3 linked regions of the Drosophila melanogaster genome follow. Changing the gene in region 1 together with any one later gene gives a genetic interaction. Each region holds a gene or a part of one and is shown on either strand. Other genes may lie near its edges.

Region 1 (7,558 bases):
AAACCATATGCGATGTCATGGATTATTGGACTTATTGCTTGGGTTGGGTGCAAGCAGAAGGGAGGAAAAGATTAAATTCTCTGTTTATCATATTTTACAATATGCAAATTACTTCTTTATTAACTTGTCACTCGGTTCGATTTCGTCTCACTTGTTTGCAATTTCCTTTCCATCCATGCAATTATTTCGTTTCATTACACAACTACATGCTCGACACTTAATTGTTAACGCCTTATACTTGACTACTAATTTGTATTTGCATGCTGTTGTATTCACTTGAAGAGGGTTCAATAATATAAATACAAATTCTGAAAATGTATATCGTGTTTTAATTGTTATTACTAATTAGGTAGGTTGATTATTTCGCAACTATCTGCACTCCCTTGTCAACTTAAAATTTGGGTTTTGAGAATCTAAAAGAATCGCTTTGTCAAAGGGTGTTAGCAAATTAAACATATTTCATATGTTCGCTCTTGTCTGCAGTTCAAACTGCTCGTGGCATTCTAAAAATAATTGCATTTCACTGCGGTTGTGTACAGTTTTGGTATATTATATTATTAAGAGACAATTACCCATAACATTATCGCTTTTGCTTAAGCCTACCCAAACATGAAAAGGCCATTGGGGGGAAAAGGGAGACTGATAACAACTAATTAGAGAGTGAACATTAGTCTGGGCATGTGGTTTCGCGGTATTGCCTTATGTGAATTGTGGTTTGAACTAAAAACGCGTTCTCCTTAACTAGACAAATTATTTTAAAAACGTTTCAGCTTAAACATAAATCTTCAATGATACAATTACAAACTGTGTATGCAAACTACACTTACATACATGAACTACCGAATCTTTCTCGTCGCTGCGAGATTGTATATATATAATTTAAGAGTCTCATTGAGAAGTAAACAAAACCAATTGTGTGGGTGGGTCGGATTGGGTGTGGAGTGGATTGGAGTGGAGTGCGGCTCCTGACTAACCAGGGGGCCGTGGCAAACCTAACAAAGCGTTGATAAACGTAAAACTAAACGTGTCCTCCGCATCAGCATCTGCTCCTCCATCCGCATCCGTGTCCGCATCGGCCATGGCTGGCACAATGACGGCGGCACCATCAGCTCAATCAATGTCGTCGTCCAGCTCGTCATCATCCATCTCCAGCTTGAACTCGCCATCGGTGGTGTGTTGTGCCGAGTGTTGTGCAAAGCCCTGGGACTCATTGGCCGACTCCAGGTACCCGTTGAACTCATTGTCCTCGTCATCCGATTCGTACATATTTTCGCCAGTCTTGCCGGTGCCGTAGGCTGGGCCAAATATAAAGTTTAATAACAGTGAATTGGAAGACAATATATGGTCATACCTTCTACGTATTTGGCAAGGTTTGGAGGCACCCACGACTTGACTCGTTCAATGTTCTCCGGCGTGCATTCGCCCTTATCCAGTCCTGCAGGTAATAGCATATGCAATGAATTTCTTATCCCGAATGCCCAATATTAAACACACTCACCCAATAGGAATCCCATACGCTTGAGCACCTCAATGTCATCGTGCATTTCGAAGGTTTTGTCGAACTTGAATATGTATTCGGACCTGAAACGATATATGGGAAATAGAATACAAGCCATACTCCGACTGAGTGTGAGCGCTCACTTGTCGTTGGTCACACTGCAGTTGATTTTCGTGGACTTGTGCGTGTTCACGATGATGAACGGTAGCTGGATCGAGGCATTCGGGGAAGGCACCACGCCTTGGCTCTCGTTTCGCTTGTTCCGCTCGACCAATCCCTTGAACGCCACATGCTGCATGATCATTTCGCGCAACATTTCGTTTTTCTGTTTTATTCGCTCGCGGCGCTGACAGTTTTCCTCTTCCAGGGCCAGAAATGTCTATGAAAAGGGGACAAAATAATCACATTAGCATGGAGTTTGGTGCCTTTGGTGAACACAAGTCCCACCTCTGTCGAATTTGCGGGCAGTCCTATCCAGCGAATCTCCTTCTTGTCCTTGGAAATAACATTGATTGCCATCAGTACGTTGAGCGCATCGTAGACACGACGTCGGATATTCTTTTGATCACAGTTGTTGTCGTACGCATTGTTCTTCATCTCCTCGCTGACCAGGTCGTCGGCCACCTCATTGTAGGTGGTCTTGCCCTTCTCCTCCACCTTTTCGCATACCTTCATCGAGAAATGGCGCAAACCTTTGCCTGCCTTGTCCGGCTTGCGTTTCCTTTGAACGGACGATGAGGAGGCCGACATGGAGTGCAACGAGTTGCTCTGAATGGCATGGCTGTTTGGGAAGGAACAAAGCTATAGTATCCTCCTCGATCCTGCTCGGTTGGTTACTACTTACAGTTTTGATTTCATTTTTATGGGATTTGGTGTAAACTTCACATAGCGATCTCCCTTCAAGGGCAAGTCGTAATGACCACTGCCAGCACCCGAAGTCTTTTGCGCCGAAACGGTGGTGTAGGTGGTACCTGCTACAATAAGGGATACAATGATTAATTGAAGTGGTAAGAGGAGGATCACACGCTTACCTTCTGTTTTTGGAATGGACAGTCCGTTGTCCTGCAGTCGTATAAACTGCCCTTGACTGCCCTGCGTTTAAATCGGATCGTTAGGTACTAAGTGTAAGCAACGTGAGCAACCGCGTTCTACACTTACCATCTGACTAAAGGCGCCCATGCGTCCCACGTTGCCGATGCCGCTAGCACTTCCGCTGTTGCGCGCGGATGAGCCGGTGGCGTAGACCACCGCCACGGGCTTACCTCCCTCCATTTCGGACTTGTTCTGGGCCGGCTTCAGCATTTTGGATATTTGTCCTGCAGAATTGGAAATTGGAAGATGCGGAGGTTCCTTAGTTTCCGATATACACATAACACGCGACTGAAATGCCGTCGTTGATAACAAAACTGCATGTACTCCACAGACACACACATGGGTGTCAGAGTGTTAGCGAGTAACTGAATGTATGTGTGGTACTATCAACGATGCGTTTTTTCGCCGTATATACGGTGAATTCATCGCAGCGAAGTGAAGAGAATGGAATGGAGCGAGTTAAGCGCACTGGAGTCGGAATACAACAACGAAAGGCGAGCGGCACATTAAGATTGGGGTGCATACACACATACACACAAGGTATACCCACACTCACGTGCTGGTGGTGAGTGTGCGTGTGTTTCAATCGGTGTGACAAGGATACAAATGCAGAAGCATAAACAACCCGAAACCAGATCGCCTGGACATTAGTGATGGCAACCACGTGACCCTTAACCAATTAGAGATGGTTCGATACTAAAGTTCGTGACTCGACAAGATTGTTGATCAGTCATTAGTCGGATTAATCCAAGTTCGAATATAATTTGAATTAAATATAGTGCGATTATAGGTTTCCCATTAAAACTCACAATTCGACTTTTAACTGGAAAGACAATAAATCAAGCAGAAGCCTAAGCAGAAGAAAAAGTAAGAGCAAATATGATACCGGTTAGTATTTTTAAAAGCGTGACATTTCAAATCACTGTTCTTAGTTGCGTTCTTTAGTAAATTTTATTTACTGCTAATTTGGTATATCCAACACTATGAGCACTTCCATTCCAAAGCAACTATAATATCAAGGCAGAATTAACCGGAAACCCATTAAGACTACTCGGTTGGCACCCCTGGGTTTCGTATCCAACCGGCTTTTCTAAACATTTCCAGTTTTAGATGGTATTCATTCGATGTAATAATTGTTCACCTGTCGCCAGCCCAATATTTGCATAATCATAACAACAAAGCAGGTGGACAACGCATAATGGAGATGAAGATGCCCAAAACAAAAACCGCAAAGGGTCGAGCGCTAAAAATACCTGCCAACTCTCCCGCACCCACGGGCACATCACACGCACACACACCTGCAAGTGAGTCAGACTCACGGGGGCTTGAGCAGCGGACACATGCGAGAAAATGCCGGACTGTCCCACCAGATGGTAACGATGGGAGTCTTAAACTCGGCGGGAGTTATCCTACAATGCCTAGGCAGAGTCCCAAAATGCAGGTGAAACCATAATCCCTACAATTGGAGAAGCAGTTCCATAGTTCGTCTGCACCAGTCAACCAGCAGATAACTACAAACCAGGTAACTCGCTGGTACGAACAGGCTGATATACTGGTCTATATAAAGCGTTTATGCGCGCTTCATATTCAACAAAGAGCAATATCACTGATTAAAAATTACTATTTCTTTACATATTGGGGATTAAAGAGACATTTTATACAAATAAAAGCACGTCATAAAGCTATCCATATCTTCTTCTTTGCTATCATGACTGAATGAAACTCATGAAGTTAATCAGTTCAGTACTGCGGGGTACGGTAAATACCGCATAAACGCGGCGACGGACAACTACACACGTGTACAGCGCTTACACCTATTTGCTCTCGCCTGTTTTGGGCTTCAGCTTCGTGGCTGACTACGTGTGTGTGTGTGTGGCAGTGTTGTTCTTGCTGTGGCCTTTTTTCTCTCACCCCGATCTCTCTTGGCGGTGCGCCCCGTCTCTCTCCCACTCGCTAAGATATGGCAGAATGTCACGCTGTTCAGATACATTTGTTTCAAGTTGAATTTACAATGTCCCTCACAATAATACCTTTGTACGTAGCTGAAATCAACGATTTATCACTACTTCACTTCATGCTAAATCCTCAAAGCGAATTCGCAGTGGCGGCGAAGTAATCAGCTGTTCGCCGCCCAATGAAAAAACAAAAAAATAAGTAGGAGAAAACGCGCGCGTGCTAGTGTGCGTGCATGTGTGTGTGTGAGCAAGCGCGCCAACTGGGCGATGGGCGTAGATGGCAGAAGGGGGCGGGTCTGGGTGGCTTACTGATATAAGTTGTTATTTCGCGGGGGTCTCTGTCTTTTATTATTACTTTTTGCCAATTTCTAGCACTCTTTTCGGTTCGTCTCGCTGGCCTCCCCCCGCAAAGCGTATCAAACGATGAATACGGTAGGCAAAAGAAACCCGAAAAAGCAAAGATGGCGTTTTACGCTGCCCATGCAACTTTGTAGCGTATCTGTGTGGGTCGCCTTGTGTATGAGGGGGTGTGTGTGTATGATGGACTATAGCGGAGGGAGGGAGTGCACTCACTCCATCGTGAGCAAAACTCCTATTACAGGACACCGCTTCCGCCCACTTACCGTGCTCGTTCCGGAAGAAGAAGTTCACCTCATCGGTCTTCACCGTACCGCCCGTCGAATGCGCCATTTTTCGGCCGCCGGAGATCAAGTGATCTTGTTGTTGTCGCTTACCGCTCACCAGGTGGACCGCCAAAAACAAAAGGAAAGAGCAGTGCTACGTGCCGTTTCGCCGCAACGTGTGTGCTAGGGGGGGGCAAATGGAGCTGGAATGGGCGACGGCGGTGGATAGGCGGACGTACTGCACCCACGGACTGGGGCACGTGTGCAAATCCGGATGCGGACCACGACCACGACGACGACGACTGCAATGGGGAGCGCACTTGTACAAAAAATAAGTGTCGCCCAAGTCAAAATGGCGAGCGCATTTTTCACTTCCAGCGGCAGGGCATTTTTTTTTTCTTTTCTGCTGCTCACACACACTCACAGCGGCGGCCCTTTTTCGGTGGCCTTTTTCGCGGTGTTTCGGCGCACGGATTTTCACGAGATTAGTGGCAAAAGATACGGCGAACTTTTAGCTATCGAACGGCTGGCAGCAGCGCGAATTTCCGCAATTTCTAAGCGCAACAAAATGGTCACAAAATTTCCACCAAGTGGCTGCTTTTCGTTTTCATGTGGGAAAGGCAAAGCAGGCTGTGTGCGGGTGCGAATGAAATGGCAGACAGTGCGCGCCAATTTACGCATCAATTTACGCAGTGTTGTAAGCAGCTGTGTGCGACAGTCGCTATCGCACACTGGTCGCGGATGTAAACAAAGTTGCCACTTTGTCCAGGTGAGCGGTATTTCGCTGGCAGCCCGCCAACGGTCACCCTGAATCGCAGAATATTAAAGTTTTCGAGTTTTATTTTTACCCATTTGGTTGGTGTGGGAAAATGACAATCAACAGGAACGGGTAAATCCAAGCAGCTATCTACACGAGCCCAGCAGCGGAGCGCACACGCACACAATGGTCGATCCGGTGGCGGCGCTGTGCAATTACAATGTGCTGGAGGTAATCTTCTCCTACCTGGAGCTGGACGACCTCAGTCATTGCTCGCAGGTGTGCAAAAGTTGGTACCACTTCCTCAACGACGAGAACAGCGACGTCTGGCGCTGGCACTGCCTGAACAAGCTGCCCAAGGAGTCCCTCAAATCGGACCTGCTGGCCTCCGTCTCCACGTACAAGACGAAGCTGCGGGCCTATTTTCACGCCTGGAGCCCCAACGACTGTTCGAGGAATGTGTACATTAAGCCGAACGGATTCACCCTGCATCGGTAAGGTATTCGGTTTGCTTGAGTCGGCGTTATATGTATGTCCCTCCATTCCCGCAGCAATCCCGTGGCGCAGAGCACAGACGCGGCCCGGGGCAAGATAGGATTCCGCCACGGTCGTCACACCTGGGAGGTGATATGGGAGGGACCGCTGGGCACTGTGGCCGTCATCGGCATATCTACCAAGGAGGCGGCTCTACAGTGTCACGGCTATGTGGCTCTGCTCGGCTCCGACGACCAGAGCTGGGGCTGGAATCTGGTCGAGAACCACCTGCTGCACAACGGCGACATGCAGGGCAGTTACCCGCTGCTGAACAATGCTCCCAAGTACCAAGTGGGCGAGCGGATACGCGTCATTCTCGACTGCGAGGACAACACCTTGTCGTTCGAGAAGAACTACGAGTTCCTCGGTGTGGCCTTCCGGGGTAAGGGGAAATAGTTTGGTGATACCAGCGATACGAACGATTCTATGCACTTTCACCTTGCAGGCCTGCCGGACAAAAAGCTCTATCCCACAGTATCCGCTGTCTACGGCAATACCGAGGTCTCGATGGTCTATCTGGGCACGCCGTTGGACGGATAGCTTTGCAGAGGGCCTACAACTTGGTTAACAACTTCCACGGATCCATTAGGTTATTGTGTACATTTGTATTTATCTCAATTATGATTGCTTCATTCCACCTGAAACTCAGTTCGATAAATTTAGTTAATAGTTTCGTTTTTTTGTACAAAATTATGCATTTTGTTGATTTACGCTAAGCCAAAGTTCATATCCACCTCGGCACTATCTCACATGGCAATTTACCTTAGTTATACGAACCAAATGAATATAATAAGCGATTAAACAATAGTTGAAGCAATTTTTTATACACCAATGATCGCTGATTGTGCAAGTAAAATTACAGACAGAAGAACGAGTCGCGAATACAAATCTTTCAATCCATTTATTGCGTGGTGGCCTCTACTGTTTCCCATCGGTTTTCATCTTGGCCCAGTTGTCTTCATCGAACAGATCATCAAAATCATTGTAGAAGTCAGCGTGGACGTGCTTATCGTTGGAGGGCAGGTGGTCCATCATCATTCCTGTGGCTCCGCCGGACTAAAGGAATACAATATAAATATATACATATGTATATGAGCGT
Region 2 (3,184 bases), 9.4 Mb from region 1:
GTGGTCAGTTGCTGGTGATAGTTGCGCATCTGGTTGCTGCGGCGTGGCTGCGCCAGGTACTCGAACATGCTCTGCAGGTGCTGGGACAGCATCTTGCTCAAGTCGCTGGGCATGGGATCCGTCCAGAAGAAGTCGTGATTCAGAGCTGTGTCCGCATCGATGCGTTTCTTGGGATCAAGGGTCAGCAATTTGTCCAATAGATCACAGCCGGTTTGATCCTTGACATACGGACGCAGGCGCTCCTTGACTCGACGCTTCTGGTTCTTTGGCAGCTCGATGGATTTGTACAGCTCCAGCTCCTCCACTCCCGGCCACACGTCCGGCGTAAAGGAGCCGCATAGCTGCGAGATAAAGGTTAGCTGCTGCTGCTCCGTATTGCCTTGCATGATGGGCGAGCGTGTCCACATCTCGGCCATTATGCAGCCGGCTCCCCACATGTCCACGGGTGGACCATAGTTGCGGTCACCAAGTAGCAGCTCAGGCGGCCGGTACCACAAGGTTACTACGCGATTGGTATAGCGATTCTTACTCTCGTTCTTTGGAATGCTAAAAGCACGGGCCAAGCCAAAGTCAGCCAGCTTTAAGATGCCATGCTTGGTAATCAGCACGTTGGCAGCTTTCATGTCTCGGTGCAGGATCTAGTAATGCAAATGAAAACAGATACATACAATGTAAAACCAAAACTTTGCTTAATGACATGACTCACCTTGTTGCTGTGGATGTAATACAAACCGTTTAAAAGCTGCTGCATAACCTTCTTAATCTCGCCCAGACTGAACTTGACGTTCATGTTGGACAGAAGACCTGCCAAATCGTGTTCGCAGAAATCAAAGACCAAATAGAAGGTGGATCTGTAACCATTCGTGGCGGTGGCCTTGGTGCGGCAGATCTCGATCAGATTCACCACGTTCTCGTGCTTTAGCAGCTGCAGGATGCGGATCTCTCGCAGAGCCGTGATGGGAAACTAGGGGAGCACATATATAAATAAGGAATTCGTCTCTTAAGATGTTGCTTTTCACGCACGCCCTCCTTTTCGTTGTCCATCAGCACCTTCTTCATGGCCACAAACTTCTTGTTGCCCTTTTTCTCGCGAGCCTTAAAAACCTCTCTGTAATCAAAGGGGTCGTATGTTTTAGTTTAAAGTTAGTTTTCACCAATTTGGAGACTTACCCGAAGGTGCCTTGGCCAATTTTCGCCACCTTTTCGTATTTGTTGCTCTCGTCGCAGTAGGGAAAGTCGTAGTCCTCGATGTACTTTTGTTTCTCCATCAGGGACATCGTGCGCGATGAGCTGGAGCCCACGTTGGAGGGCGTCGACCCCGAAGGCTGCTGGAGCATGTGGGACATGTGCGCCATGGTTAAATTTGCCTCTATTTGTACAATTTTCACAATCACAGTTTCGCGAGAAGCCGACAGTCGAAAAGAAAGAAATCGGCAACAATTGGTGTTTCTACAGCTGTTGACTAAAGAAATACCGGTGTGCACACACTGTCAAGGCCTATCGATAAGAAATCGATGGGTCAAACAGCTGGGTAGTAATAACTTTTCGATTGTTGGTATACACTGGCCAAGTGATATAACCTAGCCAAAATTTGTCCAACAAATAAAAGCCGAATTAATGAATAAACTGTTGAATATAGCCCAGGCAGGGCATCGGCAGTTTGTCCGGGAATATGCATTCAAGTCGGACCTGAAAATCAAATGGATGCGCCCCGAGAAGATCGCGTGCTATAAGCCCGAAAAGAGCGGCGATTTAGCCAAGCTGCCTCCTCTGAAAGCCGACGAACTGCTGCCGGAATACAGGGACTGCAAGGAGTTGGATAAGTATGTTGCAGTATTCTCTCAATATAATAGTTTATTTACATCATCTCACCATTTTGTAGAGCCGACGAGTCAGTTAAATCCTTGTTCAAACTGAGCAACAACGCTAGTTACCTGACCACAAAATTCTATCGCGATGAGATGGTCAAGGAGGTGCAAAGACATGCCCAGGATTTCGGCTCAATGGAGGCCAAATGTATGTATCTTTGCAAAGTGCACATATAGCAGTTCCCCCCAAATTTGCCCTTCTTTTAGTGGCAAAAATGACTGCAGTTATCCGCCGCTACCAGGAGCACATGGACAAGCATCCGCGCGACAAGATGATCAAGGTGCGTCTCAAGGAGCTCATCGACAAACGCAAGAAGTTCCTCAAGTACTTGAGACGTTGGGATTATCCCCGCTTCGAGTGGATTCTCGAGAAACTCGACCTGGTGTACAAGCCACCGCCCACACATTTCCACTGGATCACCCGCAAGGAATCCCTCCAAAAGTTGACCGACATATACTGCGAAAACCTAAAGGAAGAGCGGCTAGAGGCTTACCATAAGCAGCTGCAGGCCCAGCAAATACCCTTCCTTGAGGAGGCCATCAAGAAGATGCAGTTCGTGCGGCAGGAACAGATTTCCTGCGATGTCCCCGTGACCGTGACAGAAGAGAAGATCGCCGACTCAAAAAGGCAGCTGGAAATGCTGAAGGAGCTGCAGCAGGCGGAGGCAGCCGCCAGCAGCAAGAAACAAAACGAGGATGGCTTCAATTAGGCCCGATTCTTTAATGTTACGGTGTCTTACAATAAATGTAAATGCTGGTTTTCTTAAATTATATGTTTTATTATACTTTAAGAGTTAGGCTGGACATCGTACCCTATGTCATGATCATCTGAGCGCATACTGGCAAATAAATAAGAAGGCAAGCATGATTGCCTTAGAAAAATGTGTAAAAACAGACGCAATTAAAGAGAAGTTCCTAAAGGGTACGGTTGCAGCTAACGTCTGCCCGACGAGGAGGTTTTCCGCCTGCCGCCGCTGCTGGAGCTACTCGAGCTGCTCGACGAAGAGTCGCTGGAGCTGGACGAACTGGACGACGACGAGGAGGACACGGAAGAGGTAGAGTCGCGTGAGGTACGCTTGCGCTCCTTGTCGCCATTGCCAGTGCCCTCTTTGCTCTTGACATCCGTGGAAGTGACTTCTTCGTCGCCCCAGAGATCGTACTTTGATAGATCCTCGTCGTCTCCCTCGTCGTCGTCCTCATCTTCTTCCTCATCATTCCGCTGCTCATCTCGGCTAGACCTTCTGGGCCTCTTTGAGTCCTCTCTATGCTCGCCGTGCTTTCGCTTCTTGCGACGACCGAACTCATCGTACTCGCTA
Region 3 (3,477 bases), on another chromosome or scaffold:
TATAGGGCGGGGGCTGTATTTGTAGGTCTGGATGTAGGTGACTTAAAGCAAACACACAGATATTTCGATCTCTGTTTCAAAGATCAAGTGGGAAGTGATTTATTGAACTGATTATTCAATATGTAAGTCTTAACTAGATAAGATACAAATATTAGAAGCTATTATTTAGTCAAAACTATGTTACATTGGCATATATCTATAACAATAATTTGCTATCAAGCAAATGGTTCAAAATACAGACTGAACCTTATGGATAATAAAATATAAAATCCTAATCCTGCCTTAAATTTTATGTCCTGCTAACGATCCATATCACGTAAGCTACCACAGGGAGATGATTTAAGTCAATCCTATAATAGAACCTTTTACTATATGTGGGAGACCAGTAGCCACACAGATCGATGAGCATTTCGCAACTTCATCATCGCAGCGACTTGGACTTAATTTCGCGGGGGAAGTTCAGAGCTCCCCCGTGGCTATTGGCAAGGAGATCCCAGCATCCCAGCTTCCCAGCAGCCAAGCATCCAACCATCAAGACAGCCGGCTAGTGAAAGAATTTCCGGACTCTATGTCAAAGGTTGAATCTTATTTGTGCAGCAGCACGCGTCGCCAGGGGAATGGAAATGATAGGACAGTGGAGGTGGAGGATGTAACGACCCAGACGAGGCGCCACCACCCACGGTGGTGCAGGCGGCAATCATTCCTGACAGCATGCGGCCACGTAAATGGCGTTGAATTACAGCCCGACAATCGAAGTGTTGAAGTCCCGAACTGAAAAGTTCACTCCTGCCCGTCCGGCAGCGGCAGCAGCAGCAGCCTGTGCATCATTCATAAGCCGGCCCAGGCCACAGATTGTCTGGAAGCGAGTCGAGTGCGCACGCACGCAACGAGCCGATGATGATGAGCTCAGGACTCCCAAACAGGCAACTTTATGACTGTGGGCCATGGGTTGGCATTGGGTTGTGGTGTCGTCACGTGCCGGTAGCCGTCTGCGACTGACTCTGACTCCGGATGTGGATGCGGATGAGGATGCGGATGAGGATGCTCCGTGCCGCCCTCCTTGGAGCTCCCTAATCCACGTTGTATAATTCATTTGGCGTTGCCGACCCGTTCGCCGTGCGGAACTATTTATTCAATAATTCGACGTAAAAGCTTGACACAGCAATCCGGGGTTGTGAGCCGTCACAAAGCAACTGGGTCTCTTCCAATCACGCAGTTGTAGATACCTTAATGCCCACACCCACTGTTTAGTGTTTTAAGCTCTATCACAAATAGATTTTAAATAAAACACATGCTATAGTTCAACACTTTGGGTGCTTGGCCAACATTTAAAGGTTCAAAGAGCTAAAGCATAGAATCATATTAAGATTGTTGGCATTGCATATGTTTCGCATCAATAAACGCCGTGCCATCTAATTTTAGCTTAGATTGTTGCTCGACGCATTATCACGATTTAAAAAAATTTAAATTCACGCACGCATACAATCTTCAAGAAGGTTGGCAACTACAAATATTCGAAGTCGAAAACGGCGTTACCAATCGTCATAACTTTGGAGGTTGTACTGGCTAAAAGATAGTTTCGGTGCGTGTCCACGCTAATTGTGGATTGTGTACACGCTAATTGGTATTTTAACCCTATTTGTATTAATTGGTGGTATTTTCTCGCATCCCCCCGTCGGTCACACCAACACAAACGTGGTACCCATTTCCGCCTGTTCTTCCTCTTTCTTTTGCCATTGTCAGCCGACGAAGGTGGGTGTTTTAATTTTTCATCCGGCTCCACAGAATCACTCGACTAACTAATTTCTATCGCCTGCAGTGCTTTAACCCAAACTATCAACATGGTGGCCGTTAAGAAACAAAAGAAGGCTCTGGAGAGCACCAACGCCCGTCTGGCGCTGGTGATGAAGTCCGGCAAATACTGCCTGGGCTACAAGCAGACCTTGAAGACCCTGCGCCAGGGCAAGGCCAAACTGGTGCTCATCGCCAGCAACACGCCCGCCCTGAGGTGAGATGCCCATGCGTCTGCTGCTAAGCAGTAGGTTTCCACTGTGCCCAAGTGACCACGTTTTTGATGGAACCATATGGAGTCTGCCCTTAAAGCTGACTGAGAAGTATGATTCCGAGTAGTGGAGCAGTGCAATCAATCAATCTCAAGCTTCGGGACTGGTTCGCTTTAGTCTACGGCGCTTCCAAATGGTTCCTCCAACAACGGGCATGCACATCACTTGGGGTAAGAAGCCGGCATATAAACACCTAGCTGTAGTCTACTGCCCATAATGATGATCCTATTGATTCCGAATGCCTTGACGAATCCTTTTTATACTAGAGACTCTTTCTGACGCTCGAACCAATGGCTCATCTGTTCCAAGCGCCTTTATATCGGTACTAACATGTGCTCTTCACATTGCAGGAAGTCCGAGATCGAGTACTACGCTATGCTGGCCAAGACTGAAGTCCAGCACTACAGCGGCACCAACATCGAGCTGGGCACCGCCTGTGGTAAATACTTCCGCGTGTGCACCCTGTCCATCACCGATCCTGGAGATTCGGACATCATCCGCTCGCTGGAGACGGCCTAAACATTTATTTTTAATCGAACAAGACGACACAATAAAGTTTTGTATGAGCAGAGATAAAGTTTAAAATAAAAACACTATTGTTTTGGTAAATTCAGTGAAAGCAATGTTGGGATTATCATCAAAAGATTTGGCACGTGATTCTTGTTGTTTAAGTAGCATTTTATTTAAAAGAAAACATTGTCATTTTGCTTTACTCCCTTAAGTACAAACGTTTTGTATTCTATAAAACTGAATCTATGACCACGAAATTCCCTTTCCATTACAATTGGGCCCAATATACATTACGTAGACAAACACATTAATATGATAAAAATGTTAGCTTCAAATATGGTTTTGTTTGGTCTAAAATAGAAGGAAAAGTTAGTTTATTAATGAAATTTTCGACTTTAGTACTTACATTCTCTGCAACTTTCAGTAGATGATCAAAGCTGGCCTTTCCCGTCTGCATAACCATTCCATGGAACACTTTAGCCTTTGACGCGGTCAACAGCTCATATGGAGAACCGAACTCGACGACGTGACCAGCATCCATCACCAAAACTTTGTCGGAGTCCATAATGGTGTTTAGACGATGAGCTATCGTGAGTACTGTGCAGTCCTTGAATTTGTTTCGAATGGTGGCCTGAATCAGGGCGTCCGTCTGAGGATCCACATTTGCCGTTGCCTCGTCCATAACTAGGATTCTATTCTCGCGCAGAATGGCCCTTGCCAAGCAGACTAACTGGCGTTGGCCTACGCTAAAGTTGGTCCCGCCCTCAGATATGATGCTCTGCAGACCCGAAGGCAACTCCGAAATTTCCTCCTTGAGGTGGACGTCCTCGAGGGCCTTCCAAAGCTTATCATCGGGATATTGCTCGAAGGGATCCAAGTTGTATCGCATTGTGCCGGAGAACAG

Evidence for each region. Genes that interact genetically often act in the same process or in processes that back each other up.
Region 2: of Dp (region 1) and bonsai, changing one suppresses a phenotype caused by changing the other (phenotypic suppression), as found in Drosophila melanogaster (one study listed by BioGRID).
Region 3: of Dp (region 1) and RpL30, changing one suppresses a phenotype caused by changing the other (phenotypic suppression), as found in Drosophila melanogaster (one study listed by BioGRID).

What each region holds. Positions count from the first base shown.
Region 1 is NT_033778.4:13,220,723-13,228,280, reverse strand, and holds Dp (DP transcription factor), read right to left. Parts: upstream 5,849-7,558; 5' UTR 5,236-5,848; coding exon 5,169-5,235; intron 4,691-5,168; exon of another isoform or gene 4,621-4,690; intron 4,107-4,620; exon of another isoform or gene 3,819-4,106; intron 2,960-3,818; exon of another isoform or gene 2,870-2,959; coding exon of another isoform or gene 2,815-2,869; coding exon 2,657-2,814; intron 2,591-2,656; coding exon 2,530-2,590; intron 2,473-2,529; coding exon 2,343-2,472; intron 2,280-2,342; coding exon 1,946-2,279; intron 1,878-1,945; coding exon 1,642-1,877; intron 1,582-1,641; coding exon 1,499-1,581; intron 1,436-1,498; coding exon 1,352-1,435; intron 1,296-1,351; coding exon 1,111-1,295; 3' UTR 536-1,110; downstream 1-535. Other genes in the region: Fsn (F-box synaptic protein), read left to right, coding at 6,112-6,419, 6,477-6,841, 6,905-6,999; CG17059 (uncharacterized protein), read right to left, coding at 7,378-7,515. UniProt on the Drosophila melanogaster protein: Component of the DREAM complex, a multiprotein complex that can both act as a transcription activator or repressor depending on the context. In follicle cells, the complex plays a central role in the site-specific DNA replication at the chorion loci.
Region 2 is NT_033778.4:22,636,236-22,639,419, forward strand, and holds bonsai (bonsai), read left to right. Parts: upstream 1-1,534; 5' UTR 1,535-1,617; coding exon 1,618-1,823; intron 1,824-1,882; coding exon 1,883-2,016; intron 2,017-2,075; coding exon 2,076-2,578; 3' UTR 2,579-2,633; downstream 2,634-3,184. Other genes in the region: Cdk9 (Cyclin-dependent kinase 9), read right to left, coding at 1-638, 707-964, 1,024-1,108, 1,171-1,355; CG3732 (uncharacterized protein), read right to left, coding at 2,803-3,184. UniProt on the Drosophila melanogaster protein: Essential for gut mitochondrial activity. Might be involved in tissue specific growth factor production.
Region 3 is NT_033779.5:19,007,480-19,010,956, reverse strand, and holds RpL30 (ribosomal protein L30), read left to right. Parts: upstream 1-1,719; 5' UTR 1,720-1,752; intron 1,753-1,819; 5' UTR 1,820-1,841; coding exon 1,842-2,008; intron 2,009-2,273; exon of another isoform or gene 2,274-2,346; intron 2,347-2,413; coding exon 2,414-2,582; 3' UTR 2,583-2,903; coding exon of another isoform or gene 2,904-2,924; 3' UTR 2,925-2,926; downstream 2,927-3,477. Other genes in the region: CG31793 (uncharacterized protein), read right to left, coding at 2,904-2,924, 2,980-3,477.